Linked DNA regions of Mus musculus. The protein of the gene in region 3 interacts with the protein of the main gene of each other region in a pairwise test. Links are inferred from orthologs where the notes say so. Each region holds a gene or a part of one and is shown on either strand. Other genes may lie near its edges. The genes, in order: Rbfox1, Otx2, Atxn1, Sf1, Supt20, Pim2 and Cirbp.

Region 1 (4,324 bases), on a different chromosome or scaffold from region 3:
AAACAAAATGCTTGTCTTATTTGTCTGTTTACTCCATAAGTTTAGTTTACTCCATAAAATAAAGGGTGCCCTGGATACGATATAGTGACACTGGTTTTCCAGAGAAACAGAAAGTAGGAATGGAAATCCCATGTTAACTATGGGACTGACTTTAAAGAAGAGGCCATGAGAGGGACCTCACTAGACACGTAAGGACACATCTGTAGGTACTGACTGTAGCATGAGTCAGGTACTCTCTTAAAACTTAAAAAAAATGCAAATTATTTTTTCTTTAACTGCAGAAAAATTAAGCCACACTGGCCTGAATTTCAAAAGTGTCTCAGGCAGCAATTCAAAAAGGAACATCTTTGGCCACAGAACTGTTGGCTGTTGAGTTTAGAAAGACTGTGAAATTGTGAACAGCATCTCAAGCAGCTCGCCAGTGGCCCTTGCACATAACCATTCATGCTGTTCCCAACTATGCAGGCACAAGGGATCCTAGCAAAGATGAGTCCATAGTCCTCTTCATTTTCTTGTCTTGCTGGAATCACTAAGTTGCTAAAGAAATCTGAATCCTGGCAAAAGGGCCTTTATTCCTGACTCGGGGTGAAACTCCTCAAGCTAAGGGCCAAGGTAGCTAGGGCAGGAAGTGCAAGCTGAAAGGTAAAGAGGCACTAGAATTTCCTACCTATTCTATCATACCACATCCTTTCCTTAAGAACAAAACTGCAATGGGAGGGGGTTTAGTTTCTTTGAGCCTCCACAAAGCAGCAAGAAGGCTAGCACCTTCATGTGCACAGCCTTGCAGTGTGCTCTGTGTGGAGGAGAGGGGAAGGGTGCAGTGGGTCCCAGTAGCTCATCGGAGGCTCCTCACTGACACACACAGAAGGACTTGTAGGTCACTAGTTCAGAAGTTTCCTTTTGGGAAACAAATGAGAATGGATCAGGTTAACATTTGCAAGTAAAATAACTTGCTCCATTCCACACTAACCAGTTATGTTTCTTGAACATTTTGCCAAAGAGGAAGAAATAGTGCCTTCCCAGCTTTGCAGTTGGTTCTAGCGTCTTCTCATCTATCATTGGGGTAATACGTTCAGAGTGGCATTTTGTAATGACAGAAACATCCCAGCAAATCGATAGTTATTTAATTCCCAACAAGCTCTCGAGTCCATTAAACCTGATTACATTCACCCATTTCTGTGGGTGCCGTTATTCTCCTGCACCAGCACTTAATCTATAACAGGAACTTATGAGAACTTTCAAAAGCAATTTCAGCATCAATCAGCACGGACTGAAATGAGCGATTTGCTTGTAATTATTTATCGGATAGGGCAGCACAGGGGCCGACAAAACTCCAGCCTTTGACCTTCACCCCAAATTTCCAACAGAAGCCAAAAGCACTGTTACTCTGCTTCACCTTCAAGTCCTAAGTTTCATGTCACCATCTGGCCACAAGTTCCCTTCCTTGGTGCCAGGGCCATTCTCTGCTGGTCTATTTACCTATAACATAGAAGTGTAGCAATAGTATCCATACATCTAGGGTAATTGGCAGTTCTGATGCTATCGGGATTGACGTCTGGGTGCATTCTGCCACCCAGCTTCTGACAGTTAATAGAAGGTCACAGTCACAGTCACAGTCAAAGAATAAAAAGAATATTTGTTCAATCCTCCACAGAAGTCGTCATTAATGAATTAGAGTTTTGTAGAACTCTCAGAGAGGGCTGGGTGGGAGTGGGGCTACAGGAAAAAAAGCTAAAGTGTTGTACTGCATATATTTAATTTTCCTTTCCCATAGAAAGGAGATTTAGGATTTATTACTTAGGGTTGCTTATTTCTAAAGAACAGCAACAAATAGCCACTTGCTTCCTACAATGACCCACTTCTATCACAAGTGGATGTTGGCTTCCCAGAGAACTGCAGGCGTACACCCAGAAGCAGTGGGTTTGAGTGACAGCAAGGAGGTACAATAAGGCAAAGAAACAGGTCCAATTTCTCGCTAGCACACAAACCTCTCGGTACACAGAATAATAGCCTTAGCAGTCAAAACAACAGGCATCCTAACTTCTCCCCAGCTGCCGAGAATACAAACAGTTGGCATCGAATTTGCAGAATAACCTCTGAACTTCCTAGCGAGACCATTCTCAGTGTACCCTCTTGTTTGTGGGTCGCCTCTCAGATTTGCAAGGGGAAGCTTCTCTGCAAACAACAACCTGTGTGGGGTGTCCTCAGCAGCACTCTGTATTTCCTGCCCTTCTGTTTCCGGGGTTAAAGCCTTTAAGCAAGCCATATCATGATAAGTTACTGAGCCTCATGATCTGCTCTGGGAGACCCAGTCCCTCAGAAAGCTAGGGAAGAGAGCAAATCTTTTGCCCCCTGGTCAACCTCCCGAAGCAAAGGCATGAATGTTAAACAGCACCCAGATCAATACAAGCAAATACAGCTCAACTACACCATTTATTCATCCATGAGAGATGTCAATAGCCAGATTAAGGTGATCCATCTTTTTGATTTCCTACTGTCTTTCCTTTGACTACACGAGGGCTTTTTTTTCTCTTCCTGTATTAAAAGTGTTTGCTTTCTCAACCATAAAAATTCCAATTATTACTTAGAGCATTCTGGAGTTAAGTTGCTTGCTGGCAAAAGCCATGAATTACCTGCATCAGTCCCGGGAAGTAGGGGGCAGCAGGCACAATCATGGGCACGCCATAAGAATGCAGAAGGACTCCTTGCGACGCCAACATGCTTTAAATGGAGGCTTTATTCCCTCCAAGGCTGAACACATCAATAGAGAGTTAGAGGGGGAAAGAAATCTATAGACCCAACTTCTTCTCAACTACAAAGCCGAGAGCCAAATCACTTCTGTCAGGAGCCAAGTGCTCATCCACAGGCAGCGGAGAGGGAAAGGAAACAAAACCCTGCATCAGCAACTCTTAATGTGAAAGTTTTCTTCCCAGACAAGGAAGGGACGCGGCAGCTGCAGGGTCGGTCGGAGCTACCAAAATGGAAGGAGCTATTTTGGGAGCAGCTCGCCCAACATGACTAACCAAATACTCTTCATTAATTTAGTTCTCAGACCAAGGGAGATGGAGTGACAGGGAATCAGGCGAAAAGAGAAGGCATTTGTCCTGAGGAACTGGGCCAAATTGCAAGGGGCTGGGTCTGCATGAGATTTTTAGAGAGAATAAGTAATAGAAATGTGTAAGCTTACATGACAATCAGTTGCAACTTAAAGAACTTAAACATTTACCCACATAAAAATCATCACCAGAGCCTAGACTTCAGTTCTAAATTGCAACTGGTTGTTATGTGAGTTTGTATACTACCATATAAGCCTGAGGACTGGAATTTGGATCTCCAGTGCCTATGTAAGAAATCAGGCAATGTGTCACACATTCCTAGCACTGGGAAAACAGAGACAGGAGAATGCAGGGTCTCAACTGTCGAGCCAGCATAGCCAAACAGAAACTTCCATGTACAGTGGTTTAGTGGAAGACCCTCTCTCAAAGCGTAAGTAAAAAGCAATAAAGAAAGATACCTGGAGGTCACCCTTTGAACACAGCACATACATTTTCACACCTATACCCATTCCGCCACAGTTATGAACAAAACCAAAAACAACCAAACAAATAAGAACAACAACAACCATAACAACAACACTCAAATCTAGCAGGTTCATGTGGGTAGCTGATCAAAAATTATCTAAGAATACTCAGTATGTGGTGGATAGCCTCTATAATCCTAGAACTCAGAAAGTTGGTATAGAAAAATTGGGAGCTCAGCTGTATAGCAAACTTAAGGCCAGCCTGAGCTACATGAAACTGTCTCAAAACAGTGGGCTCACTTTCCACCCCTTCTTCACCCAATTTCAGTTTGAAAAGGCAATTCATGAGTAACAAAATAATAGCTGAAATCTGAGTAAATTAGCTTTGTGGGTTATTGAGCTCCATTCTTCCACATCTCGGATGCAGGGGCTAATTCCCAGACCCAGGAAGCAAAGTGGTACCCAACAGGAATCCAGACTCACACTAGGCAGCCACTTTGCAGCTAGTAGGAAGCAGTGTTGAGTTTAAACCGCCCCCCCACACACACACAATCACTAGGTAAGTTGTCTAGCTGGCATTGCACTGTGAGATGTGATCTAGAAATGTGCCACAGAGTAGGTGCAGACTTGCTGGTGCTGTGTTTCATCTGTGAAGGGATTTTATATAGCTGGTATGTGTATCTTCCAGCTGTGATACATGAATTTGCAATATACTAAACAAAGGTGACACCCCACTCCCCCTTCCCCCGAAATGAAAGGCATTGAGAAGAATGCAAAGCAGGAACTGGAGCCGCTTTCCTTGGA
Region 2 (3,675 bases), on a different chromosome or scaffold from region 3:
GCCACACAAGGACCACATGACTACCTTTGAAATCTGCCCTGTGTTGCATCTCCAACTGTAGGGACTCTTGCGACCTACAGGTTCTAAGACTTTCTCATTGCAGCTGAAGTGCTGCTTCCAGCCTTGGAAACCAGGCTAAAAGACCCTGGTTCATATGATTAAGGAGGAACAGGAAGAGAAAGGGAAGTAAAAAGTCCCCTGGCTCCTGAGGGTTTAGAATTTCAAGCCCTTCTTTGGTCTGGGACAAGGCCTCATTGGGTCATCAGTATAAACCAAGATTGAAAAGTGTCTACATCTGCCCTACCTGCACCCTGGATTCTGGCAAGTTGATTTTCAGTGCCACCTCTTCCCTCATGAAGATGTCTGGGTACCGGGTCTTGGCAAACAGAGCTTCCAGAACGTCGAGCTGTGCCCTAGTAAATGTCGTCCTCTCCCTTCGCTGTTTCCGGGGGGTGGCTGCAGGACAAGAAGCCCAGGGCCCTTTAGGGTGGGGGAGCAGTTTCTCAGTCACAGGACTTTTGCCTCGGTCCTCAGACTCCCCGACCTCCCTCCTCTCACCGCGTTACCCAGTATCCCCACCCCTTCCAGAGCCTCACAGGACACACGACCTCCCAGTGTAATGCGGTCCCCTCCAACCCCCCCCCCCCCGACGCCAGCTACAAATTACTTGAGGAACTAACAAAATAAAACAAGGAGCCACAATTCCCATCCCCACGCCCAGTTCTGGAAACGAACAAGCAAATAACAACCTCTAGATCACACACATCACCAGAAAAGGCTGACTAGTAAAGTTAAAGGCTCTATGAGGACCAAAGGTTCAGAATGACGCAGCGAACGCCGAGCCAGTTCCCACGGTATTTTAACACCACAGGGACGTTTGTTCTTTTATCTTTAAAATGGGACATAGTTCATACTTTTATGAGTTTTTGGTTGGGGGGAGGGAGGAATCTGACTAGAAAAGAAAATTGTCTGGCACCTGGAGGGAAGCCACACCTCTAAGGATTAAAGGGACAGGGCATCGACGTACCGGAAACCCCTGGAAGCCCCTGGCCAGGGAAAACTGGAAGGGACAGTAGGGGAGAGAATTCGGTTGCTCCCAGGGAAGTAATAGCTAGGAATTGGACGTGGAAACGTACGCAAGAGCGTGCTCAAGTGACAAGGTCAACAACCTTCCACGACCTAGCCCAATGAATGTCGCCAAGCCACTCGAGTTAAGAATGGAGCGGTGTGATTCTCTGTTACTTCTGCAGACCCCAGATTCGCCTCTTCCCAGCCTCTTGTTCCCTCTTGGGTCAGTAAATGCTCTGTGGCACTCGGCAGTTTGGTAGCAAGGAAAATACATCGGGAACCCCGCCTTGAGCTTGAGTGAGGACAGCGCGCCCTCCAACCTCGGAGCTCCAGAGGGGCGGGCGTGTGGAAGGGCGTCTAGAAGGCCGCGGACTCACTTACCGGGGTAGCCCACGGAGGGATGCAGCAAGTCCATACCCGAAGTGGTCAGACTCAGCCCATTGACTGCGTAAGGCGGTTGCTTTAGATAAGACATCATGCTAAGGTTGTTTGGAGGCGCAAAGTCGGCCCAAATTGGGGGGACCCAGCCGGACGGTCTCGATTCGCCTGGAGTGGACAGGGTCAGGGTCCTTGGTGGGTAGATTTGGAGTGACGGAACTAAGGGCAAAGCAAACAAACAAACAGAAATGCTGGTTTACTGCTTCGGAGGGAGCAGCTTCCTCCACGTTCCAGCACTAACTAAAAAGAACCCGGGAGACGCTGGGCACAGGCTTTTAAAGGAGTTGCAGATGCGTCCCCCACCCCCGCCGTCCCCCCCACCCCCCAGCAGCTCCAAAACTAGAGGGGATGGAGTGAGACCAGATAAACCTGTCTTCCCCACCCCCACCCTAAACTTAAAAAAAGAAAGAAAGAAAACCGACCCGAGGAAAGCAATTACAATCTGCCTTCCCCAAGAACAAAACCCCACGCCTCCAAATGCACGCTCTACATTCCTAACCCAACATTTGCATAGGACTCATTGGCTGGCACTAGCTAATTGTCTCAAACAAAACTTGATTGGGGCCATTTGCAGAGACAAAGAACTCTTTGGCTAAATAAATAATGCTGATAACAAAGCCCATTGGTGAGAAACAAAGAAACAATTCAAGAAATCTACCTCTTCCCAGACTGTTGCCTTTCCCTGGCAGAGATTTTAATTATCTTAGCTGATTTTTTTTTAAATTATTACCACTTTCAACTGCTGTGAACCTAAAATGTAAACGCATTCAACATTTAAAACACCAACTTGCTGAACAACAAACTTGTGAAAACTGCCCAATCACTATTATCCCACATTTGAAGTCATTTCCAGTAATCATTTTCACCTAATTAGTAGTCTGGATAATTAGATTTCGAAGTAAGTAACAGATTTATTAGGGTTTTGGAGGAGTTTGATTACATGTGTCTAAAGAACTATAGCTAAACAAACAACTATTTAACTTTTAAGCGACACCCATCAAATATTTAATTTAAACATACTGAGAGGGAAAAAAAAAAGTCTTTTCTTCAAGACTAGCACAGGGCTTGACAGAAATGCTTAAGTTAGAATCCTAACTGAAGTAAAGTCAGATAAACTGCTGCCCCCACATTTTGCAAGTCCAGAGGGGTGCATTCCTACAGCAAGCCGCTTCCATGTTTTTTATGTCAGGAGGCTACAGATCCAGCGGGAAACACTTTTTCTTGGATTTTGGGTTGGGGGGAGAGGGGGCTGCAACGGGAGCCACCTTTCCCATATATTTAGGTTTGAAGTCAATAAACATCCAAAGCAATGGAACTAACCGCACTTCTCTCTGCTTTTTAAATTTCCTACAATTTTGTAAGAAAAGGAGCTGGGTGGGGGGAGAAAAAGAAAAGTCATCTGTGTTCCTTTGCTGAACCCCTCCCCCCATCGATGTTAATACAGGCAGGCAATGTGTGTAAGGCTGGCTTTTATTTTCCAAAAATAAGGCACTTAAAGCGCTCTCTCTCTCTCTCTCTCTCTCTCTCTCTCTCTCTCTCTCTCTCTCTCTCTCTCTCTGCTTTGAAACTTTGACACTCTGAGAAACTTCCTCAAAATGGCGGATACAAGACTGAGTTCTCTGTCACTTCATAAAGTTCATTAATGAAAAAATTAAGACCTTAGGTTTTCATATTTACCTTGCTTAAGAGACAAAGGCAAAGCTTCACAAACAAAACTCAACAGCTGTGATTTCTTCCAGATTTACATTCAGAACACAAGTCTTATTTCCCCACCCTAAAATGTGATTTTTATAAATGTCCTTCTAAGAGAACTGGATTGTTAACGAGTGAAACTAGTTACTTTTGCGAAGAACACTTTATATTCTGTGTTCCTTCTTCCAAGATCTAGCTATTTGTAACTGTGAACGTAAGATTCTTTAAAAACCCAGTCGTTCCTTATTTAAATACCCTCTAAAGAGGAATTCTTTGAAAATACACTCTTATTCCCTTGGACAGTTCTGACCTGTTATATATGATGTTAAGATGGGCATGTATTTATTTACTAGTCTAGCTCTCACCCAATTAGATCGCCTAAACAGATCATTTGATAAAAGCGGCATGTTCCAGGATAAAAAGCAGTAACAGAAAGTTCGGGGCGAGGTCCTTCTTGGAGAGTCAAAACGGCTCAAA
Region 3 (4,296 bases):
CTGTCTGTAGCCATGGCAACCTGATCTAATTACATGAGTGATCAGGGCTGGAGTAAGTGTACAGAAAACTAACACCACAGACAGTATCTATGATGAGAGAGGCAGACAGGCAGGAGGCTTCTCAGCCTCAGCTTTATGTGGAAGGTGGCGTTCAAGCCAATTTATTTGCAAAGCTGCTAAAATATTGACTGATGCGTGGCCAGTTAGAGGACAATCAGAGGAGATTAAATGCCACAGCTAAGCTGTTATGGTGCAATCCCTTTCCAAGAGTTCTTGCGCATGTTTTTTCTTCTCTCTGGTGGCTACCTCTAGCTTCCCCTGGCATAAGCTTCATTCAAAAATAAAATAAAAATAAAAACCCTCGGCTATCAAACTGTCTTAGCTACCCACCCACCATCAGTAAACCAGAGGGTAGGCTTAACCCAGGCTTCTAGGAATGGCAGGGCTCTTCATAAAGCTGGACACGGTTTAGCAAACACTATTGCAAAAAAGTAACCAGCTGCGCCTAAAAATACCCAGCATGTAACTACCTTGTTGCCTACGATCTATAGCAGTGCTGTTTAAATATTAAGAAGAGCTCGCATTATAAAACAGAAATGTCACTGAGATGACACTACTAGGTTGCTACAGGGAAACATAGGGCATACACACATTCCCCTGCATACCAGGCAGAATGTGAGGTGAGAACTCTAAAGCATTACTTTTTATTCTGTAGGTGGTGTGGGGTCTTCTAATTTTACTAATTGTATCCTGTGGCTCTCTCTCTGACAAACTAAGAAACCTCTTCGGGGACAGAACCAGTTTGGAGGAGTTCCTACTGCACAACATACGGTAAACAAAATAAAAATAGCTTGCCTTTCTTGTTAGCCACATAGCGCATTATATAACCAGCTTCCGACTGGCTTCTTTTTTTTTTTTTCCGCCCTTACTACTCTTCAGCAATTTCCCAACCTTCCCCAAGTATTTATATTGCCCTCTTATCTGTAGGATTATACAGCAAGAAAGCAAAACAAAACAGGACAGCCACGGGATCGAACTAAACCCCATCCTCTTACCCCTGATCCTCCCCCCACCCCACCCCCCGCGCCCCTGGCAGAGTCTAGATACAGCACCCTACTTCCACCCCCCACCACTAAGGTCCTTGCTCAATCTCCCTAGAAAACCTGAATTGTTTCACCTCTTGCAGTCAGCTCTCTACGTGGTCTGAAATAAAATGAAAGCGCACAAGCCACAGAGTTGAAGGAGGCGGCTCAAGAGAGGTCGAAGCGCTGCAGAGTCAACCAAGGGACCACCGTGGACCCCCACCCCCACTCCCCGCTCCCCATCGCGATGGTCCTGGTCCCCGCCCGGCGCGCGAACACACGCACACACGCACCTACACACTCACACGCACTTACTCCCTCCTCTCCGACCCCGCCTCACCTCTCGCTCCGCCCGTCCGGCCCCTTCCCTGCCCCCTGCGGGACCGGCCTGCGCGCTCGGCTGCAACCACGTAGGAGGCGGCGGCGGTGGCGGCGGCAGCCCTGGCAGTGGCAGTGGCGGCGACTCGGGCCCCGAGTGAACGAGCCGCGGGGCTCCGGGGCACATCCCAATCCCCGCAGCGCCTCCTCCGCCGCCACCTCCTCCTTCCCCTCCTCCCGTCTTCATTCACCCTCTCTGCCGCCGCGCAGCAGAGCAGTCCCGGCGCAGGGCAGCGCCCGCAGCTCCTCCGCTACTGCTGCGGGCGCCGGCAGAGTCGCCGGGCCGGGCTGGGGCGCTCGCGGGCTCCCGGCTCCAGCTCCGGCGGTGGCGGCGGCGTCTGCTGCTGCTGCTCTGGATCAGGAAGCGGCCGCACCAACAGGGCGGCGGTGGCAGCTGCAGCTAGGGCCGGTCTTCTCCCGCTGCGCTGCGATGGCCCGCGCGCCCTTGCCTCCTGAGGCGCCACCTCTCCGCGCCCCTAGCCTCACGCAAAGTCCCCTCTTGGTCCCCTCGTAGCCCCGAGAGGCTGGCCTAGGCGGGGAGACCCCAAGCTCGGGGTTGCCTCTGTCAAGCTAGGCGACCCCGGGCGGGGAAGCCCAGCCCTCCCTCGAGCCCCCGCAGCGCTCACCGCCCCCACCCGGGAGGGGGGACTGGAGAGGAGCGAAGAGGGCAGCGCGACCCTCCGCGGCTGCCGCCTCCCCCTGCGCCACACGGAAGGAGGAGGACCGGGCTCTATCCGCTCGCCGCCGCCGGACCGGCAGCAGCCGAAACGGGGCGCCGCCGTTCTCCCCACCCGCGCCCCCCGCCCGGGCGCGCCCCCTCTCCTGGCGGCCGCCCACCCAGCCCCTATCTGCTGCCCTTGCTAGCCGCTCCTGCTCCCAGAGGGGGTCCCGAGCCGGGAGGCTGGAGCCGGGCACTAGTGTATGTACACACAGTCACACATACACTCGCGCGCGCGCCTGCACACACACACACACACACACACACACACACACCACGACGCGTCGGTTTCCTTCGCTCCTCTTCCAGCTGTTTTCCGTGCAGCCCATTGAGACTGGGGGAGGGGGGGTGTATGCTGGATGTTCTTTGGCCCCTCTCCGGAGAGAGCAGATTGGGGTGCGGGAGGGGGTGATTTTAATCTAAATCGGGGTGGAAGGGGGAGGGGGAGAGAAAGAATCAGAGGAGGAAAAAAAATAGCCACTTACTGTAAAGTGTAAATGGATCTGGGGTTGCGTGGGGAAGGGGTAACAGAGGGAGAGACACAGTGTCCTGCGGCTGCTGTAGCTCTAGCTGCGGCTCCACAGGGCTTGTTTTGGATCCCCCTGCAGTGAAACAGGTCCTGTACGGCTCCTCCACTGTAGTAGAAATGATGTCTGCGGTATACTCTGCTCTCTCCTCCTCCTCCTCCTCCTCCCCCCTCCCCTCCCTCCTCCCTCCGCCCGCCCTCCCTCCCTCGCGCTCTCTCTCGCGCTCGCTCGCTCGCTCCAGTATGTAAATGTGTAATAGAAGCCAAATATGGAGCAGTTGGCTGCCGCCGCCGCAGCTCAAGGATCCGACTTCATGGGGGGGGAGGGGGGGGGGAGGCACCCTCTGGCAGGCGGCCCGGCGAGCCGCACAGAGCACGGCGAGCGCACGGCGCGGCTGCCGGCCCGCGCCCTTAACCCTTCTATGCACCCGGGCTGGAGCGGCGCTCGCTCCAGGGGAGGCCGGGTTGTCTCTCCGCAACTGTGGCTCCGGATCCCCGACACCGACCGGAGGGGACTGTGCCTTCCAGGTTTGAGAAAGGGGCGGGGAAGTTGGGGCGATGAGGTCATTGGAGTGGTGACCGATCGGTGCTCGCGCGCCTCCCCGGCTCCCTGCAACCTAGTTGGAGGGGGACAGGGTGAGTGCAGGGTGCAACTCAGGCAACCTGGGAGACTCGCAGCGACGGGTGTCAGGATTTGGCTCCTACTTGGTAAAATACCCAAGGGGGCGGGGAAGTCGGCTGATTTCTAATTACGAAGTGCCCTTGGTGCCCCCCGGGTGAGCATCTAAAGAGGACTCATTGTATCCTTACTGTTAACCCTCCAACCCGCCAGCCCTGCGTCATCCGAGGCAAGGCCCGCGCCTGCTGCCTTGGCTTGCAACTCGGGAAAGTTCTCAGGCTTCCCCAGCTTGCACTGGCACCCTCACCTTTCCTGCCTGGACAAGCTGGCGACCTCCCGGTCCTCCTTTCAAATTCTGCTGGTCTCGAAATCTGCTGTGGGCATGGAACGCCTCAGCTCTAGCTAGCCCTGGTAACCGACCTCACTCACTCCTCAGGGCTAACTGTGGATCATTCATTTCATCGCAAGCGAGGTAACCTGTGCACTGAGCAGTCAGTCGATGGTGGTTCTCGGGGAAACCAAGCGAAGGAACGCTCCCCCACCCACCTTGTCCCGGTGGCTAAACGCAGACGTGGACTCCCCACCCGGCCCCCTCCGGCTACACCTCAGCCAAGCGTAAGCTCGAGGGAAGAACTCTTCTCTGGAGGCGTTCACCTTGCCAACAGGTGTGGCACCCGAAAGAAGAGCCATCACATCCCCACGAGGGTCGCTCAGTGCCGCGTTCTCTTTGCAGCAGAAAATTCTTGAAGACCAGTAGGTGTCAGGCCAGCATCTGACCTCTTTCAGGTGCTTAGAACTGAGAGTCTGGAAACTCGATCCCTTGGTCTCGCTGGAAGCCACTACTATTTATTGACTCTAAGCCGGATTTGAGAGACCTTTTGGCTCCGTTTACGTATGACCCAACAATTAGTCACTGTCTGAAGCAGCGTACAGAATCACCAAGAGAAACGTGTGCGCGTTTAAACTACTGTAT
Region 4 (4,289 bases), on a different chromosome or scaffold from region 3:
TCTGCTGATGTAATCTGGGAGTTACATGTGCTAGGTTCTACCACTCAATTGTATTTTCTGCCCAGACATTTGCTCTTTCTCTGTTCTATGGCCATTTCCTCCCTACCTGTCATAGTCTGTTGACTTGTACCATCCACCATACTTGAGTTTCTTATCTTTGTAGTCTCTTTATTCCTAGATTACTCCAAACCTTCTGTTGTCTACATGTCTACTTTTCTACATCATTTTAAAAGATTACTTAGTCTTATGTATATGGGTGTTTTGTCTGCATATAAGTCTGTGCACCATATATATGCAGTGCCTGTGAGGCCAGAAGAGGGTTCTGATATCCTGGGACTGAAGTTACGGATGGTTGTGAGTCACCATTTAGGTTCTAGGAATCCAACCTGGGACTCTGGAAGAGTAGCCAGTGCCTGGTCTTATCTGCTATTTCTCTAGCCACTCTAATTACATATTAAACACTGTTTCCCCTACTGGGTCTAAATAACCTCTCTGTGAGAACCCTATCTATCCCCAGTTCTATTATGTTGTGCTAACCTGTTTCATTACTCTCATGTTTATTTCATGGGAAGGAATGTTTGGCCTCAGTCTCATTTACAAGTTCCCTACCATTTTTATGGGTAATTTTAAGGTACCCGAAACAAATTTCCAACGCATTGAGATTTCCCTGGAAGTGCACACTTTTAGACTAACTTTTGAAATGACTTTCTCTCCCCTCTCCAAGAAGGACTTGGAGCGCCTGACTTTTCCTTTACAAGAGTTAGTATGTGCCATTGAACCTGGATTTTTTGAGACAGATATACTGTACCCCAGGTTAGCCCCAAACTCATGTCAGCTCTCCTGTCTCAGCCTTTCAAGTTCTCGGGTGACAGGCTACTTGGCTACCTTGTACCGGAATGAAATAAAGTCTTTAAATACACCCACCAACTACCCTAGTTTTGAGCCATTTCGTAACACTATTTTTCAGAGAAAACAGGAAGTCTTTCTCTACTCTACCTGCAGCTTCGACGTATCCTGTTCGTCAGCTCGAGCCCGCCCCTTCGCCGCGGTCCCTAGTTACCTCTAGCACAATGACTAACGTCACTTAAGGCCTCCGTTCCGCCCCTCTGGGGAAGGGGGCGGGGACACGCGTGCCCTCCCTACGCATGCGCACCCCTGCTCTCCGCCTTGGTTCCGGCTTCTCCTCCCGGCTTTCTCCATTCTCGAGCGGCTGGCTCCTGGGGGAGGGGAATCGTTTCAGCCAATCGTGTGGCACTACGACGCCGAGGCGCTTACCTCCATCGGTTTCAGCCAATGAGCTAGCCGTTCTCTCACGTCACAGACTTTGCCCCCTCCTATTCCCCTGCCACTCTGGCCTCAGTCCGCGCAGTAACAAGGAGTGCGCGCTGCGACACCTCCCAGTTCCCCCGGCCCCGCCGCCATTTCGTCGCCGGGCCTAACGGTTCGGCCAATCCCGACCCATATTGAAAAGAGCCAGTGCTCCACCAATCGGAGGCCGCTGCCTCCGACCTCACCTCGGGCCGGCCCAATCCAGGCCGCGGCCCCTCCGCCCCGAGCCCGCCCCCGCGGCGTCCTTTCTCCTCCCTCTTTGTGCGTCTGGCGCCGCCGCCGCCCGCCGCGTGAGAGGACGGGCTCCCCGCGCTCTTCAGCCGCGTAGTCGGGTCCCCTCCCCCCCACCTCCAGCTCCCGGAAGGTTCGTGAAGGAGAAGTCGCCGCGGAGGACGAGGAACCGCTGCTGCCGGTCCCCTGGGGCGCCATGGCGACCGGAGCGAACGCCACGCCGCTGGGTAAGCTGGGCCTACCAGGCCTTTCCCCACTTCCTGGGCCCAGAGGCAGCTTCAAGCCCAGCCTATTGGCGCTCGGGACGCCGCTGCCGGGGGCCCTAACCACGGCCTTGTCCTTAGCGGCGGTGCCGTCACCGCCGCCGCCCCCGGCCTCGTACCCGCCATAGCAGCCGCCCCCGCGCCGCCGCCGCTCTTTTCAGCGAGGGTCGCCTCCGCGCCAGGACCAGCAGCCGGGCCAGCCCGGTGGCGGCGGAGGTGAGTCGGGCCGATAGAGCGCGAGAGTCGTCGGGCGAACCGAACCGGCCGACGGAGGGGCAACGCCACCGCGGTTGGACGCGGCGAGGACGCGCGCGCGCGCACGGGAGGCCCGGGCGGACGCGCCACGGGGAACGCGCGGCCTGGTTTGGGAGGCTTCGATTGCGCACGCGCACCGCGAGAACCAGAAGGGCGGGAGGAAGCGTTCTTCGCGCAGACGCAGTGAGGCGTTCAGGCTTTGTGGCGCAATTGTGGTAGTTTTGGAAGAAGCCACCTGTTGCCCCCTGAGCTCCTGCTATGGAGGACAGGAGAGTCAGGTCCACGGGACGACGTGGTGTGAGTGGCTCCCTTGATGGTTTTTAGCAGCCCCGTGGCAGGAGTGTCTCCTTTCACAGTGAGGCGAGTTCGGAAGGCTACTAGGGATGCTTGAGTTCGATCATTTATTAAAGGTTTTCTCCTTTTGTTTTCTAGAAGGTTCTCAGAGTGACCAGCTTTCCCCGTGCTGTTTTAAAAGGCTTTTTCTCTGGGCCTGTAATCTGAGAAGTAGAAAACCTTGTGTGGTAAATGTAGGGAAGAATGTAATAAATCAGAGTTCTGATGACAAGTGTCCACTGGTCAGGAAAACTGATCTTTCCACGAGTAAGAATGGTCATATTGAAGGATGGCATGTTTCCCACAGTAATGTGTAGCAAGAGATTTGTTGTGTACTCTTGTAGCTTGAGTTCCAATGCTTTGTGGGCCTCATTCCAGTTTCCTCTTTTCTGCCCTTTAAGGCATTCAGAATTGATAATATGTATCTGTACACTTCTGATTCTGGGTTTCTGTGCATTAAGTCTTGGAAGCAAGGGCATGATGGTTCATGCTTTTAATCCTAGCACTCTGGAGGCAGAGGAAGGTGGGGCTTTGAGTTTGATGCCAGTCTACATAGTTTAAGACTGCCAGGGTTCTCTAAAGGGACTTCTGTCTCAAAAAACAAACAAAAGATCCAAAGAGTTGGAGATATGCATCAGTGGTAGAGCTCTTACCCAATATATGCAAAAACTCTGATGTTAACACTACAAAAGAAATGTGTTCCTTGTTACATTCTCTAGTATTTTCGTTTTAAAAGAACTAAATGTGAACTGTTCCTTAACTTTCCTGACAGGAGGATCTTTAAAATGGCTGCTTGTTTTCTCTGACCTCTGAGATTTCTTTCTTTTTAAAAATTTAGGTGATTTCAGTTTAGTTTTAATTATCATGAACTGCTTGCCTTCTGGTTCATATTTCTGCCTGATGGGCTCTGTCTGTCTTTAGACTTCCCAAGTAAGAAGAGGAAGAGGAGCCGATGGAACCAAGACACAATGGAGCAGAAGACAGTGATTCCAGGCATGCCTACAGTTATACCCCCTGGACTGACTCGGGAACAGGAAAGAGCTTACATAGGTAAATACACGTTCTACATCCAGGTGCATCTTCAGATTGTTACTGCAGATTGTTCTGAGTGATGAACCTGTTGAAAGTCTTAAGATTTTAGTCATGGGAACAAGGTGTGATGAGCTATGCTTTCATAGCTGTGTAATCCGTGATTTGCTTGGCCAGTCCTGCATTTGCAGCTTCTTGTTTGGGCCTGCTCTTAGCTCGGCAGCCCCCTTCTCAGCTGCTGTTCTTGCTCATTGGTGAGGTGAATGCTATCTTCCTCTCTGGACAGGCCCCAGTGGAGAACACTGCAGGTATTGTAAACCAGTTGCTTTTTTGTAGCATGGCCTTTCACCATAATGTCATGGTTCCCTTTCCCTAAAATTGTGGTTTCGTTTTTTTATAGGTACAAAATAGTTTAAGCAAAAAGTGGCTCGGAAAGCATTTATAGTTTACCCATTTTGTTGAATTTAATCCTTCCCTTCAGTATCCTTTCTTGTTCCATCTTTAGAGAGCTGTCTTAAAACAGGCTCTTGTAATTTACCACTAAAGGACTCTGCTGGGAAGGGTTTACTGTTTGATTTGAAATGAAGTGGTGGCAGAATTTAAAAAATTAGGTTACTGTCCACAGTAGAATTAAACCTCAAAATTACTTAAAATCCAAGGTCATAATAAATGGAAGTTTTATATCTGTCCTGCTGTCTCAAAAAGTGCACTTGATAAACATTTTCAACTAACCAAGTAAACATCCTCTTTGGGGCAGAAACCTCGTTGGGTCCATTGAGCTGTGTCCTTCTCAGACAGCTTCAAGGCTAAGGTGCTCTGAGTCTGGAGGTCTTCATTTCCTGGTTCTTA
Region 5 (4,227 bases), on a different chromosome or scaffold from region 3:
GTAACTCAAAGACAGGAATAATATTCTTAAAAAGATACGTTTTTTTTTGGGGGGGGGGTCTGGGGGACTTTTGGGATAGCATTTGAAATGTAAATGAAGAAAATACCTAATTAAAAAAATAAATTTAAAAAAGTTTAAAAAAAAGATGTTTTTGGCTTGGCTTTTAAAAACTAGTACTGGACTGGAGAGATGGCTCAGTGATTAAGAGCACTGACTACTCTTCCAGACATCCTGAGTTCAAATCCCAGCAACCACATGGTGGCTCACAACCACCCATAATGAGATCTGATGCCCTCTTCTGGTGTGTCTGAAGACAGCTACAGTATACTTATATATAATAAATAAATAAATAAATAAAATCTTTTAAAAAAACCTACAGCTACAGTGTACTTATAATAAATAAATAATAAGTAAATAAATAAAATCTTTTTAAAAAACCTAATACTATCAGATAATATTTCTTTAGCCTGTACTGGCTTAAGGAGGTCCTTCCCTCCGAAAAAGTTTTGTATAGGAAATCTGGTTTTCTGTCACTAGAATTTGTACTTTAACAGAGTTGTGTAGTTTCTGTGGCAGTAAGTGCAAATTGATAGGTGAAAAATTGTAAAACAACTTAGTGTCTTCAGAGCAGAGGGTATCATCTTTGGTAGGCAGGAAGGGTTAGAACAGTGGGCTTCCACGGTGGTGTTTCCTTATTTCTGGGTCCCCCACTCTACTCTAGACTTTGACCAGAATCCAGATACTGGGACATGGGCATCCATCCTAAAGCTGGGTAGGTCACTTGGTTTGTAAGGCAGGATGAGACCCCCTGCATTATGGGAAAGATTTTTCAAAGATGTTTCTCCTTTTTTTAAGTAAAAGTATTAGAGAAGTCTGGAAATGTAGCCTGGGGCACTTGGGGGAATAGGAGTTTTCTGGTTTTGCCATCAGTGTGATTAAAAACTGAATTTGAAAGTGACCCCACATAGCTGTCAAAGCCAGTGGTCAGGTTGTAGAATCTGCAGGGAAGGCAGTTTAAAAGTGTTGTTGTAAAAGCCAGTGTTTTCTCAGTGTTGTATTACTTTGGCCTGTGTGAGGTAGTGGTTTGAATTCTCTGACTTTTTTGCCCTACTCCATGAGAGCTGTTTTTCATCTGTTTGTAGGTGGGTTTAATACATTCTCTGGTAGAAGTTTGTTTTAAAGATATGTTAGGAACGTATGTGCCTTGAGTACTTTTCCTGATAATGACAGTCTTTCTTTTTTGCAGTCTTATGCTAACAGTTCCTATTTGTTTTTTCCTGCAGTATAGAAGAAGACATGGTTTCCACCCCACTTCCACAGCACGTCTAAGTTTTATCTTTTTTGGGGTCCTTATCTGTTGCCACAATGGTAAGCTGTGAATATAGCGTGTTAAAATGTGTATCCTATACTATTCTCTTCCTTTAGCTCCATAAAAATATTGTGAATAGAAAGACTCAGATAACTTAGTAGTCATGCCTAACTTTTTTCTAGAAAATGTCTAACTCATATCTTGTCAATTCAGTGGTAGGACATTTAAGTTAGACAAATCCTTCATGTATTAAAAGTCAACTCTGCTTTGCCATTTTTCTGAGTCTTTGATAAGGAGGTTGATATAAATGAAGCTTATTTTGGGGGAGGCCCTCATAATTTAAGTTTCTTCTTCCATCTTTTTTGTCTATGTTTGTTCTGTGCATGTGGCCTATATGTTTGGTAAAGAAGTGATCGCAATGTCGATGTTCCTCCTTTATCCCTGTCCCCCTTTTATTTTGAGACAGTCCATTAGGCCTAGAACTTGCTGAGTAGGCCAGGCTGGCCCCTGAGGTATACGTCCCCCTTATTGGGATCCCTGCTTGTGCCCCACTGTCTTGCTTTCTTGTACAGATTCTGGAGTTTGAACTCAGTTATTCATGATTGTGTGGCAGTCACGTGGACTGAACTATTTCCCCAAACTCCTTCACCTGGGTGCTTTAAAATTAATAAATGTAGGCAGGTTTAGTTTGACACAGATGTAATTCCAGTACTTGGGACACTCAGGTCAAAGGATCCCCAAGAGTTGAAGGCCAGCTTAGGCTAGAAAGAGAGCTCCAGCCAGCATAGGCTACAGAGTTTCTAAACCCTGCCTCTTCTTCCCCCATCCCCCATCCCATCCTCACTTTTGTGCAGATATACCTGCAGTGGAGCCCAGAGGACAAGCTGTTACTACAGTTGAGAGGCAGGTGGGGTGGGGTGGGGTGGGGTTAGAGACAGGCTGTAGAGGACGTGTGTCGTCATCTTCCTGCTCTGTAGGACTTGCCTATTTACTTCTACTTGGTTAGAAATAATGGGAGTTGTCCCTGTGGGATTCTTGCCTTTCATGTATACGTATTAAATGGTATACCTAAGTGCTTGAAGGGAGTAGTGAACACTCAATACGAGCATGTCTAGCTTCCAGGTCCTGACTGCAGTGCCATTTTAGCATTTGTTATGATCAAGTGCCCAGCCATTAAAAAAAAAAAAAACCTTAGTAACGCATTGGAGGATAGAGGAGAGGAAAAACACATTGCTCTTTTTTCAGAAAATGAAACAAACACTTAATAACGAGTGTCAAGTGTTATTTTTTCTGAAAATAATTAATATTGCCAAATCTGCTATTTGCTTTTTCCAGCAACAAGCTGTAGAACAAGCTTTGGATTGCGCAGAGGTGAGCCCTACTGATTAAATGTTGAAATACTGGGGTTTGTAACTGACAGAAAGTCCTTAATAGGACATTTTGATAACCCTCAAGAGAACAGTATTTTAAACCAGACCACAGAATTTGTAAAGTTGTTTTTCTATCTTGATGAGTTTCTCTAAAATACCTTAAAATATGGGTCACTGCACTCAAATGTGTAATTTTAAAATAAATTTAAAACTTTTAGAATATATTTGTCCTGTGGAATTGCATTTTATGGTACTAAAACACTGGGCTGGGTCTTGGGCTCTATGGCCTGTGTACAAGCGTGAGCTCAGGCTTGTCAGAGCCTAGGAGACTGAGTGGGCTGCTCTCACTGTCCTGCTGCGGGCTTGCAGCTCGCTTGCACTCACTCGTAGGAAAGCGGAAGGCAAGCCCTTTGACCAACTTCTCTGTTTCAGTACATCGTGGAAAGTGCTCAGCAGAGACCTCCTAAAAGGAAATACCTGTCTAGTGGAAGGTATGACTGCTTAATCGGTAACGCCCAAGTCAGTGAAATAGGATAACTACCACTTACTGTAGACATTGAAATGTTGTCAGTTCTTTGTATGGGCAGGTTGAGCATCCTTGATACTCCACAATATGCAGCTTAGGAATCTTGATGGAGTGTCACAAATGGGCATTTTCTTTTCTTTTTAAAAAATTTTTTAATTTTTCATTTATTTCTTACACTCCATATTCCATTCCCCACCCCCTCCATCCACCCTCCGACTGGACTGCTCTACATCCCACACCTCCTCCCCACCCCATGCCTTCTCCACATGGATGCCCCCACCCCCTACCCTACCTGACCTCTAAACTTCCTGGGGCCTCCAGTCCCTTGAGGGTTAGGTGCATCATCTGAATGAACACAGACCTGGAAGTCCTCTACTGTGTATGTGTTGGGGGCCTCATATCAGCTGGTGTGTGCTGCCTGTTTGGTGGTCCAGTGTTTGAAAGATCTCGGGGGTCCAGATTAATTGAGACTGTTGGTTCTCCTTCAAGATCGCCCTTCTCCTCATCTTGTTTCAGCCTTCCCTAATTCAACAACGGGGGTCAGCTGCTTCTGTCCATTGGTTGGGTGCAAATATCTGTATCTGACTCTTTCAGCTGCTTGTTGGGTGTTTCAGAGGATAGATCCCTTTTTGTGAGCACTCCATAGCCTTAGTAATAGTGTCAGGCCTTGAGCTGGATCCCACTTTGGGCTTGTTGCTGGACCTTCTTTTCCTCAGGCTCCTCTCCATTTCCATCCCTGTAATTCTTTCAGACAGGAACAATTATGGGTCAGAGATGTAACTGTGGGATGGCAACCCCATCCCTCTCTTGATGTCCTGTCTTCCTGCTGGAGGTGGGCTTTATAAGTTTCCTCTCCTTACTATTGGGCATTTCATCTAAGGTCCCTCCCTTTGAGTCCTGAGAGACGAGAGACTCTCACTTCACAGGTCTCTCGTGAATTCTGGGGGCAGGGAGGGTCCCAACCTTCTATTTCCTGAGGTTGCCTGTTTCCTTTTTTTTTTCTTCTGGCCCTCAGGGCTTCA
Region 6 (4,195 bases), on a different chromosome or scaffold from region 3:
TTTTGTTGATTTGCTTATCTATGTGGTGATTTAGAGCCCAAGGATGACTACGTACCTGCTTTGGAGCAGTGCGTGTATGTGTGGAACAACTGTATATTCTTGTGACAGACTCTGGGTCTCTCATTTCTGGGGCAGCACAAATATTTCTGTGAATGTACATATCTGGTGGTGCTTGTGTGCTTGTGACAAATCTGTCAATTTCTGGTGGGGGCATATGGTATTAAGTGACCCCCGTAGGACAGTACAAGTCATATCACTGAATGTTTCTTTTCGGAACACATTTTCATGTACACCTAGGTTAGGACAAGTCTACTTGAATGTGTCTGACTATATCTTTAATGGTGGTTCTCCCGTTCTTGGTGTACGTGTGGGTATGTGAGTTCCACACACGATTGGAGGTCAGAAAGCAACTTATAGAAGTCATTTCTCCCTTTTCACCATGTGAGTCCTGAGGTCAGCAGCCTTACCTGAAGACCTTTTGCTTTTAAGACAGTCTCACTATGTTGCCCAGTCTGACCTCGCTTTCAGTTCCCAGCTCCTTTTTTACAAGGAAGTTGTAGTTCCCACAAGAACTAAGTCCTGCCATTATAGATTCAAGACCCAGACTGAGTAACAGAGCCAAGTCTAGCCAGGTTTGTATAGGATAATGGCAGCAAAAAAGCACCCTACAGGTGCCAAACTGCCATTGTTTCCTCTGCATCCCTTCCTTTTGATGACGGTAAAGAATTTTACCCTTCCCTGAAGAGTGGACCAGCTCTCCTATAAGATTACAGTTTTGGAGCAAAGGCTGCCTGATCTTGGGTGAAACACACGTGACAGGATCCTGTCTAGTTCCAGGCTCTGATTTTTAAAAGCTGGTTTGTCGTTGTCTCCTTACTGAACTCAAGGCAGCAAAGGTGATGGCGGCAGCAAACCTGCATCCTAGGAAAGGAGGCTGCGCTTTTTAAAAGTGTGTACACACCCCACCACACCAACAACCAAAACAAACGCAGTTGTCGCAAAGGAATTCCCAGAAGCGTGCATGTCTGTGTGTCCGTCTGTCTATGTGTGTGCGCGCACGCGCGCGCACCCTCCTACATTTGCATACAGGCCCTTCCTCCGCGGAAGAACCTGGCATGTATTTTGCATAAGGGGCACTTGAAACGTTGAGGGTGGCATGCAAATAAGGACTGGCTCGGATTGGCTGGGGTACAGCAGGTGCCGCGTCCGGATTGATCAAAGCCAGGTGGGCGGGTCTGTCGCGCAGGGCGACTCTCCCGGGAGGCGCGTGCCCCGGCTCAGTAGCGTTGGGGCTGGCGCGCGCGACGAATCTTAACGCTGCGCCGTCTGCAGGCGCTTCCGGGCCGCCAGATTCCCTGCCTTCCACCCTGGCGCCCCCCAGCCCTGGCTCTCCGGCCGCTCTGCCCCGGGCATCCACGCCCTGCGGGCTCAGCGGATTCAGCGGGCTCAATATACGCAGCACCTCCTCCATGTTGACCAAGCCTCTGCAGGGGCATCCTTCGCCCCCTGTGACCCCCACGCAGCCTCCAGGTGAGCGTAGCCTCCTCTGTCACAAGCAGGTTGGGTGGACTGGAATGATGGGTGCTGGTGTGGGGGCGAGTCATGGCTGGGATCAGAGTACACCGCCACCCTGACTTCCTCGCCTCCGCTTGCGTAGGAGGCAAGGATCGGGCAGCTTTCGAGGCCGAATACCGACTTGGCCCCCTCCTGGGTAAGGGAGGCTTTGGCACCGTCTTCGCGGGACACCGCGTCACGGATAGACGTCAGGTATCCCCTACAAGGGGTTCTCGGAGGGTCAGGTGTTTTGGCGAAGGGTGGTGGTGGGGTACCAGTGACTGGGATGCCAGTTGCTTCAGTGGGGAGCCTGCGTCTGCAAATGTGTAGTAGAATCATAAGGAGCAGGGTTGCTAGGAGTGTGAGTGCGCGCGTGTGTCTGCAGTCCAGGTGGGTATGGGGGTGGGCAGGATTCAGGGCAAGAATTCTAGAAGATTGGCGCTTTCTACTAGGGAGGGGGCAGATATCAGGACTGGACCCCAAGATCCATGGAATTGATGTGCGTGCGCTTGTGTGTCTGAGATGGTGGGGATGTTTTAAAAGTAGGTGTTAAGTGTGGAGTCGTGAGAACAACAATCCAGATAGAGTTGTCCTGGAGATGAGGATGATGGAGGAGGGCATGCGACGTCAAAAAAAAAAAAAAAAACAAACAAAACAAAACAAAAAGACTTGGAATTCGAATCTGGGGATATGGGTCAGTGGTAGATTATTTGTCCACCATTCACAAGCACTGAGTTCAATAACCAACATCGTGGCGGGGGGAGGGGGGAGGCATGTAGAAAGACAGTGCGAGAGAAAAAGCAAAAGGAAAAAAAAAAACTACAACTCACTCCCGTTCTGGATTTCAGGGGGTCTTGATGCTTTCTTAACGAGAGCCCAGGCGTAAATATGTTTAGGTGAACTTGCTTCTGAGGACTTAAATGCTGGGTGGGCATCTGAGCTCCGATGGATGTGATATGTATGGGAACTAGGAATACCCGGGTGGAGAGACTGGAATTGGGAAGTCTGGGATCACCTGCTGCCCCCTTATCTCAGCCTTTTTTCTAGGTGGCCATCAAAGTAATCTCCCGGAACCGTGTGCTAGGCTGGTCCACCGTGGTGAGTGTCTTTGGTGTACGTCATGACCCATAGACTCCATCACAGAACGCACGCACTGCTTTTTTTCTAGGGGACATATGACTCCCTGGGCCCTGAAACCATGAGAACCCCACCAGCCTGTGATTCCTGCCTTCATGTGATAGTTCTGATTTCACCACAATTCCCCCAGAGCCCTGGATTCTCCTTTCAAACTCTCCTTTCTCATCCTTCTTCCAAACACTGCTTTTGGGGCTGTTCACAGGACATGCTGGTGGGGAAGGAGGGGCCTAGGTCACTGGTTGTCATGGTGATGCTGGCTGCTTCTCTTCTGCCACCCGGAGAACGCTAACGGACATCAGGGCGGGTCTGGGCAAATTGTAGGTAAGAGAGCTCCCCCTGGTGAACCCTTTAGGTAGTCTGTGCCGGCCCGTGGACTTGGGGGGGGGGTTTGGGGGTGAGCCTGCGCAGTAGCCGATTTTGCGTCTTCGTGAGAAAACCTGTCTGCGGCTGTGCAAGTTACTGGGTCTGTAAAGGACCCCATCTGAGGCAACTGGACTCTTGGCAGTCGCTGCCCGTTCGGGTCTGGGGCAGGGGCCTTTGACTTGTGCTGGTTGATAAGCAAGACTGACAAGACAGCATTCATTAAATGTTTACTCTGTGCCAGGTCCTTTGCAATTAATCAGTGTAAGTCGTTTTGGACAAATGAAAGCTGGGATTGGTGGTGCGCACCTGTGATCCCAACGTTCAAGAGGCTGGGTCTCTAGGATTTCAGTGAATTTGAGGCTGGCTTGGGTGGGCTACTTGGCAAAATTCTGTCTCAAACATGAGATAGAAATTTAAAAACCAGAGGACACTTCTGCCGTGGTTTAATTTATAGGCACTTTGCAAAATACGACATCATTTCTTAGAATGCATTATATGCTACATCCCTTCTACTGACTGCTCTTTCTGTCTTAACATCCTGAGTTTTGCTGTTACTAAGGATCCTTGAGGTATGCTAGTGAAGAAAACTAACCAACACTTATACAATAATAGTATTTATTAATAGTATTAATTTAATAGGATTTAGTTCCATGCTAGTCCCTCTTTGCTGTAAAGTACTTCCATTTACAAATACTTATTGAGTATCTAGTGTGCATAAAAGCTGTCCTGATGTGGATCTTGATGAACATCTTGTTTACCTATCTTAGGTAAAATTATGAAGAGGGACTTATATTATAAAACACTTTGAAGTCCAGGCATGGTGGGGCACACTTTCATCCTCTGGGGGTAGAGTCAGGTGAATCTCTTATTCCAGTCCAGCCTGGTCTATGTAGGGATCCTGTCTCAAACTCCCTCCCCTTCAAAACAGATGAGAACACTTCAATTTCTCCAAGTATTTACTGACCTACTGCATGCCAGACGTGTATGGTCTCTGTTCGTTTCACTCTCTGAAGGACTTGAACCTTTAAAGAGGGTACTAGGGTCTAGGAAGAGGAGCCCAACCGAAATTAGTGCTTTGAAAATAAACTTTGCTATGTTGAAGGCAGGGCTACAGACTTTTAACACTTGCCTCCTTCTTCTT
Region 7 (4,241 bases), on a different chromosome or scaffold from region 3:
GGCTGTGGAAGGACACACATGGACACCCAGGCTCAGCCCCGTACCAGGTATAGTTGGCAAGAGTTGGTTCTCAGTAGAGAACAAAACCAAACCACCTACACTAGTCTGCCCTTCCCCTGGTGCACCCTCCTCCCAGGCCCAGCTGCCACCACCGAGGCTGAGCCTCCCCAAGGCTCCCATCTGGCTCACCTGGCATAGTAGTCTCTGGAGCCTCCATAACCCCCACTCCGGGACTCAAAGCGGCCACCTCCATAGCCCCGGTCTCCTCCTCCTGTAGATGATCGAGAACAGAGTCAGGGAGTCCCTACTCCTGCTGCAGTGCCACCACCAGCTGCCAAGGCACCCCAGCACTCACCTCTGGAGAACCCTCGGCCCCGGCTTCGTCCCCCACGGAAAAAGCCCCGGCCTCCAGCAGAGCCACCCCGGTATCCTCGGGACCGGTTGTCAGAAGACTTGCCAGCCTGGTCAACTCTGATCTGCCGCCCGTCCACAGACTGCAGGAGAAAGTTAGGGTCACTGTACCCGATTCCACACCAGACCTATCCAAGGTAAATTGGCTGACCTGATCCTCACCTTCCCATTCATAGCCATCATGGCGTCCTTAGCGTCATCGATATTTTCAAAGGTGACAAACCCAAAGCCTCGGGATCGCTGGGTCTCCCTGTCCTTTACCACCACCACTGCAGGAGAGAGACATTAGATGTGCCCAGTCAGCCCTCTGCCCCCCACCCCCACCCCCAAGTAGAAGCCGAGAACAATGATCCTGACCCAAGACTCACCTTCGGAGATCTGCCCATACTTGGAGAAGACCTGCTCCAGCGCCTGCTCGTTGGTGTCGAAGCTGAGTCCTCCCACGAAAAGCTTGCCTTCATCTGATGCCATGGCAGCCTATGCACACACCATAGATGTTTGCCTTAACCACCACCCCTTCCAGAAACTGAAGCCAAATAGCATATTTAAGAATATGCTTTTCAAAAAAAAAAAAAAAAAAAAAAAAAGAGTAACATATTTTATGTGCACTGGTGTTTTGTCTCCATATATGTCTCTGATGCTGTCAGATCTTGGGAGTTAGTTATGAGGTGCCATGTGGGTGTTGGGAATTGAACCTGGGTCTTCTGGCAGGCAGGCAGTGCTCTCAACCCCTGAGCCAACTCTTCAGCCCCCCACATTCTTTGCCTTTAAAAAATTGAGACAGTGTCTCCTTTTATAGTCCAGGATGGCCTTGGAACACCTGTAAGGATAAGTCACTGAAAGCTTTAAGGAGTTAAAGCTGCCTCTTCCCATCCCTTACCTACATATGTATGTATGTATGTATGTATGTATGTATGTATGTATGTATGTATATAAATAAAAGTAACCCACAGCTGGACATGGTGGTATATGCCTTTGATCCCAACACTTGGGAGACAGAGGCAGGCAGATTTCTGTGAGTTTTGAGGCCAGCCTGGTCTGCAAAGAGAGTCCAGGATAACCAGGAGTACACAAAGAAACTGGGGGGGGGGGGCTAGGGGGGAAGCATGGGGGTGGGGGGAGAGGACCCCATGGTCTTACTGGGAAACCTCAGCTTCAAGTGGGGTTTCTTTCACACCTCTCATCCAGCCATTCAAGTCACCGAGATGGGAAGATCAATGAGAAAAAGGACACTGTGGATCAGTTTGAGAGACTGTTTCAAAACAAATACCCATCTCGCCTAGCCTGTGGGAGTTGGAGGCAAAGGAACAGAATCCAAAACCAAATACAATTGCACAGCAAGTTCAATACCCTTCTGGGCTACACAAGAGGGAACTCTTTTTGCTTTTATCATCCCAAAGGCATATGGAATACTTTGTCATACAGCTGAGGCTAACCTTAAATGATTCTAGGTCTTGATTACACCTGGCCAGAGAATCCCAAGGTTAGGATCAAAATGGCATGGTCACTTTGCAAATGTGTGTGGTTGGGGACAGAAATGATAGTGACTGCCTACCCTCACTAGCATAGAGTTGTTGGGCCAGAGAAACTTCACTACTGAAATACGCTTTTAGGGTACTGTCTGGAGGTGTGCCAGTTGTGGGATGCCTCGCTTACTCAGCCAAGGACTAGAGAAATGTTTTTGCACGATGGACTCAAGGGAGAAAGGAGGTTGGCCCAAGAGGCGTGGCTAGCGAAAGGGGCGTGGTATCTAGACAAAGTCATTATTGGCAACCGACAACTTGGAAAATAAGTCCACTATACCACGAAACCAGTCTACCTTGGGGGCAATAAACTTGGGGCACAAAAGGACAACATTCAAGCCTACATGTGCTTTTTTGTTCCCCACGTGGAACCACAAGGGAAGAGAAAACCGAGGTAGAGCCAGCTGGAGTAAAAGGGTCGCACGCGACACAGCTCCACATCTGCGGACAACCGGACTTTGGAGGTAGGAGCGCCCCGCCCCCGGAGCAGCGCATGCGCCAAGCGCGCACCCTGCGCCATTCCATCCGGGCACTCGGCAGTCCCGCCATTTCGCCGGCGAAGCTTTTCAAAGCATCGCGGCGGCCATTTTACAAAAAAAAAAAAAAAAAAAAAAGCCCACCGTTAAGGTCGGCCTCGGCCCGGGGATGACGCGCGGTGGAGGACGCCCTCCGACAAGCGTGAGGCCCCAGTGTCCCGCTGCCCGCCTCGCCGCCGGCGGGGCGGACTCCAACCCGGGCCCGCCCCCAAGTCCCAGGGGCGTGCCGCTGCGGCTCCGCCTCGCCCGAGAGTCACAGGCCGCCCGCCGCCCCGGGCCCCTCAGAGCCGGTGCCGCCAGAGCCCTCACCGCTGAGTCGGGCAGGTCCCTGACGCGAGCGGGAAGACAGCGCGCCACACACACCCAAGCTTCCTAAGGCGCGAGTGCGAGGGGGAGCGCAAGAGTCCCGCCTGATATACTCCACTCCTGGAGCCACGCCCCTTAACCCGCCCACCACGCCGCGCTGACCAATCCGACGCCTTAGATTCGGCATCTGCGCCTCGGTGGAGGGGCGGGACTCCGTTGGCTTTGCCCTAGTCCGCGCGGAGGCGCTGAGTGTTTTGATTGGCTGGAATCTTTCCTGGCCGCATTTTTCCCCCCCACCCCCCGCCCGCTAGCGACTAGGAGGCGGGGACAGCTGATTTGGAGGCGGAGCTGACCCACTTCCGCGTTCCCGACCCGTTTGTCCTGCGGCGGGGAACAAAGAGCTTTTGCTACCTCAATGAGACTCCCAAATATGGCTCCAACCTTGACTCATCGACTCAACACTTTTATGTTCTTTTTTTTCTTTTAATATTTAATTACAGTTATTTAACTGAGGCGCATTTGTGAAGCCAGAAGACAGATGGAGTCTCTCCTTCCATCATGTAGGTCCTAAGGATCATACTCAGGATTAGCCACAAGCAGCTTTATCCACTGAGTCATCTTGCTTGCCCCTCTTCTCCGTTCTTGCTCATGAAACCAAAACCACCGAATTACTCTAGTCCAAAAGTACCTCCCAATACAACTGCTGCCTAACAGTTCTTTGGACCCCAAGGACACTCCATAAGATCAGCCCTAAAATTTCCATCCCAGTATTAATCACAATGTCAAGATTTTCTCTAGATTTCCTGCACCCAACTCAGTTTTCCTACAAATCTCAACCTGCTGTATAACGACCATTTGAACCCTGATTTCTGCCCATCTCCAACCAGGTGTACATTACCACACAGATGGCAAAACACCACTCTTTTCAATGTGTACCTGCATTTTCTAGAAGAGACCCCAGAGTCTCAAGCATGCCATGGAAGGATTTCTATCCTTGAGCCACACCCCTAACCCCTCACTGCAGAATTCTAAGTAGTGGCTAAACCAAGCTACATCCTTAGCCTTCTTAAACACACACACCACAGAGAACAAAACAAAAAAGTGTATTTTAATTTTATGTATATGGGTGTTTGCCTGAATGTCTATGCAGCACTTGCCTATCTTGCGCTGACAAAGACCAGAAGAGAGTGCTGGATCCTTTGGATGCAGAGGTCCAGACAGCTGTGAACCTTTATGTGGATTCTGAGAATTGAACCCACGTCCTCTGCAAGAGCCCTTTACCACTAGGCCATTTGATCCTTTGAGACAACCTACATTTTTCAATCTATCCTTGAAATCCGTAGGCTCACATCCCAAGTAGCTGTGATAACAGACCCATGTCTCCAGGCTACATTTTCTTCTCCCTCCACTGTGGTTTTGAGAGTCCTGAGTCCTGAGTAGCCTATGTAAGGATCCTTTTTTTTTT

Evidence for each region.
Region 1: the proteins of Atxn1 (region 3) and Rbfox1 interact in binary tests that used the Homo sapiens proteins (3 or more experiments, as listed by UniProt). The link is inferred for Mus musculus from reciprocal best matches to the Homo sapiens genes ATXN1 and RBFOX1.
Region 2: the proteins of Atxn1 (region 3) and Otx2 interact in binary tests that used the Homo sapiens proteins (3 or more experiments, as listed by UniProt). The link is inferred for Mus musculus from reciprocal best matches to the Homo sapiens genes ATXN1 and OTX2.
Region 4: the proteins of Atxn1 (region 3) and Sf1 interact in binary tests that used the Homo sapiens proteins (3 or more experiments, as listed by UniProt). The link is inferred for Mus musculus from reciprocal best matches to the Homo sapiens genes ATXN1 and SF1.
Region 5: the proteins of Atxn1 (region 3) and Supt20 interact in binary tests that used the Homo sapiens proteins (3 or more experiments, as listed by UniProt). The link is inferred for Mus musculus from reciprocal best matches to the Homo sapiens genes ATXN1 and SUPT20H.
Region 6: the proteins of Atxn1 (region 3) and Pim2 interact in binary tests that used the Homo sapiens proteins (3 or more experiments, as listed by UniProt). The link is inferred for Mus musculus from reciprocal best matches to the Homo sapiens genes ATXN1 and PIM2.
Region 7: the proteins of Atxn1 (region 3) and Cirbp interact in binary tests that used the Homo sapiens proteins (3 or more experiments, as listed by UniProt). The link is inferred for Mus musculus from reciprocal best matches to the Homo sapiens genes ATXN1 and CIRBP.

The regions. Positions count from the first base shown.
Region 1 is NC_000082.6:7,068,395-7,072,718, reverse strand, and holds the start of Rbfox1 (RNA binding protein fox-1 homolog 1), read right to left. Parts: upstream 2,885-4,324; 5' UTR 2,721-2,884; coding exon 2,634-2,720; intron 1-2,633. UniProt on the Homo sapiens protein: RNA-binding protein that regulates alternative splicing events by binding to 5'-UGCAUGU-3' elements. Regulates alternative splicing of tissue-specific exons and of differentially spliced exons during erythropoiesis.
Region 2 is NC_000080.6:48,660,995-48,664,669, forward strand, and holds part of Otx2 (homeobox protein OTX2), read right to left. Parts: intron 1,741-3,675; exon of another isoform or gene 1,666-1,740; 5' UTR 1,547-1,665; coding exon 1,450-1,546; intron 481-1,449; coding exon of another isoform or gene 457-480; coding exon 305-456; intron 1-304. UniProt on the Homo sapiens protein: Transcription factor probably involved in the development of the brain and the sense organs. Can bind to the bicoid/BCD target sequence (BTS): 5'-TCTAATCCC-3'.
Region 3 is NC_000079.6:45,962,152-45,966,447, forward strand, and holds the start of Atxn1 (ataxin-1), read right to left. Parts: upstream 2,841-4,296; 5' UTR 2,664-2,840; intron 2,475-2,663; exon of another isoform or gene 2,454-2,474; intron 2,234-2,453; exon of another isoform or gene 1,423-2,233; intron 1,287-1,422; exon of another isoform or gene 1,178-1,286; intron 1-1,177. UniProt on the Homo sapiens protein: Chromatin-binding factor that repress Notch signaling in the absence of Notch intracellular domain by acting as a CBF1 corepressor. Binds to the HEY promoter and might assist, along with NCOR2, RBPJ-mediated repression. Binds RNA in vitro.
Region 4 is NC_000085.6:6,362,332-6,366,620, forward strand, and holds the start of Sf1 (splicing factor 1), read left to right. Parts: upstream 1-1,358; 5' UTR 1,359-1,756; coding exon 1,757-1,787; intron 1,788-2,188; exon of another isoform or gene 2,189-2,375; intron 2,376-3,332; coding exon 3,333-3,461; intron 3,462-4,289. UniProt on the Homo sapiens protein: Necessary for the ATP-dependent first step of spliceosome assembly. Binds to the intron branch point sequence (BPS) 5'-UACUAAC-3' of the pre-mRNA. May act as transcription repressor.
Region 5 is NC_000069.6:54,693,840-54,698,066, forward strand, and holds the start of Supt20 (transcription factor SPT20 homolog), read left to right. Parts: upstream 1-1,283; 5' UTR 1,284-1,365; coding exon 1,366-1,368; intron 1,369-2,644; coding exon 2,645-2,680; intron 2,681-3,111; coding exon 3,112-3,170; intron 3,171-4,227. UniProt on the Homo sapiens protein: Required for MAP kinase p38 (MAPK11, MAPK12, MAPK13 and/or MAPK14) activation during gastrulation.
Region 6 is NC_000086.7:7,877,027-7,881,221, forward strand, and holds the start of Pim2 (serine/threonine-protein kinase pim-2), read left to right. Parts: upstream 1-1,279; 5' UTR 1,280-1,292; coding exon 1,293-1,530; intron 1,531-1,657; coding exon 1,658-1,767; intron 1,768-2,601; coding exon 2,602-2,652; intron 2,653-4,195. UniProt on the Homo sapiens protein: Proto-oncogene with serine/threonine kinase activity involved in cell survival and cell proliferation.
Region 7 is NC_000076.6:80,166,455-80,170,695, reverse strand, and holds the start of Cirbp (cold-inducible RNA-binding protein), read right to left. Parts: upstream 2,858-4,241; 5' UTR 2,780-2,857; intron 2,526-2,779; exon of another isoform or gene 2,279-2,525; intron 968-2,278; exon of another isoform or gene 889-967; 5' UTR 883-888; coding exon 780-882; intron 681-779; coding exon 574-680; intron 495-573; coding exon 356-494; intron 272-355; coding exon 190-271; intron 3-189; coding exon 1-2. UniProt on the Homo sapiens protein: Cold-inducible mRNA binding protein that plays a protective role in the genotoxic stress response by stabilizing transcripts of genes involved in cell survival. Acts as a translational activator.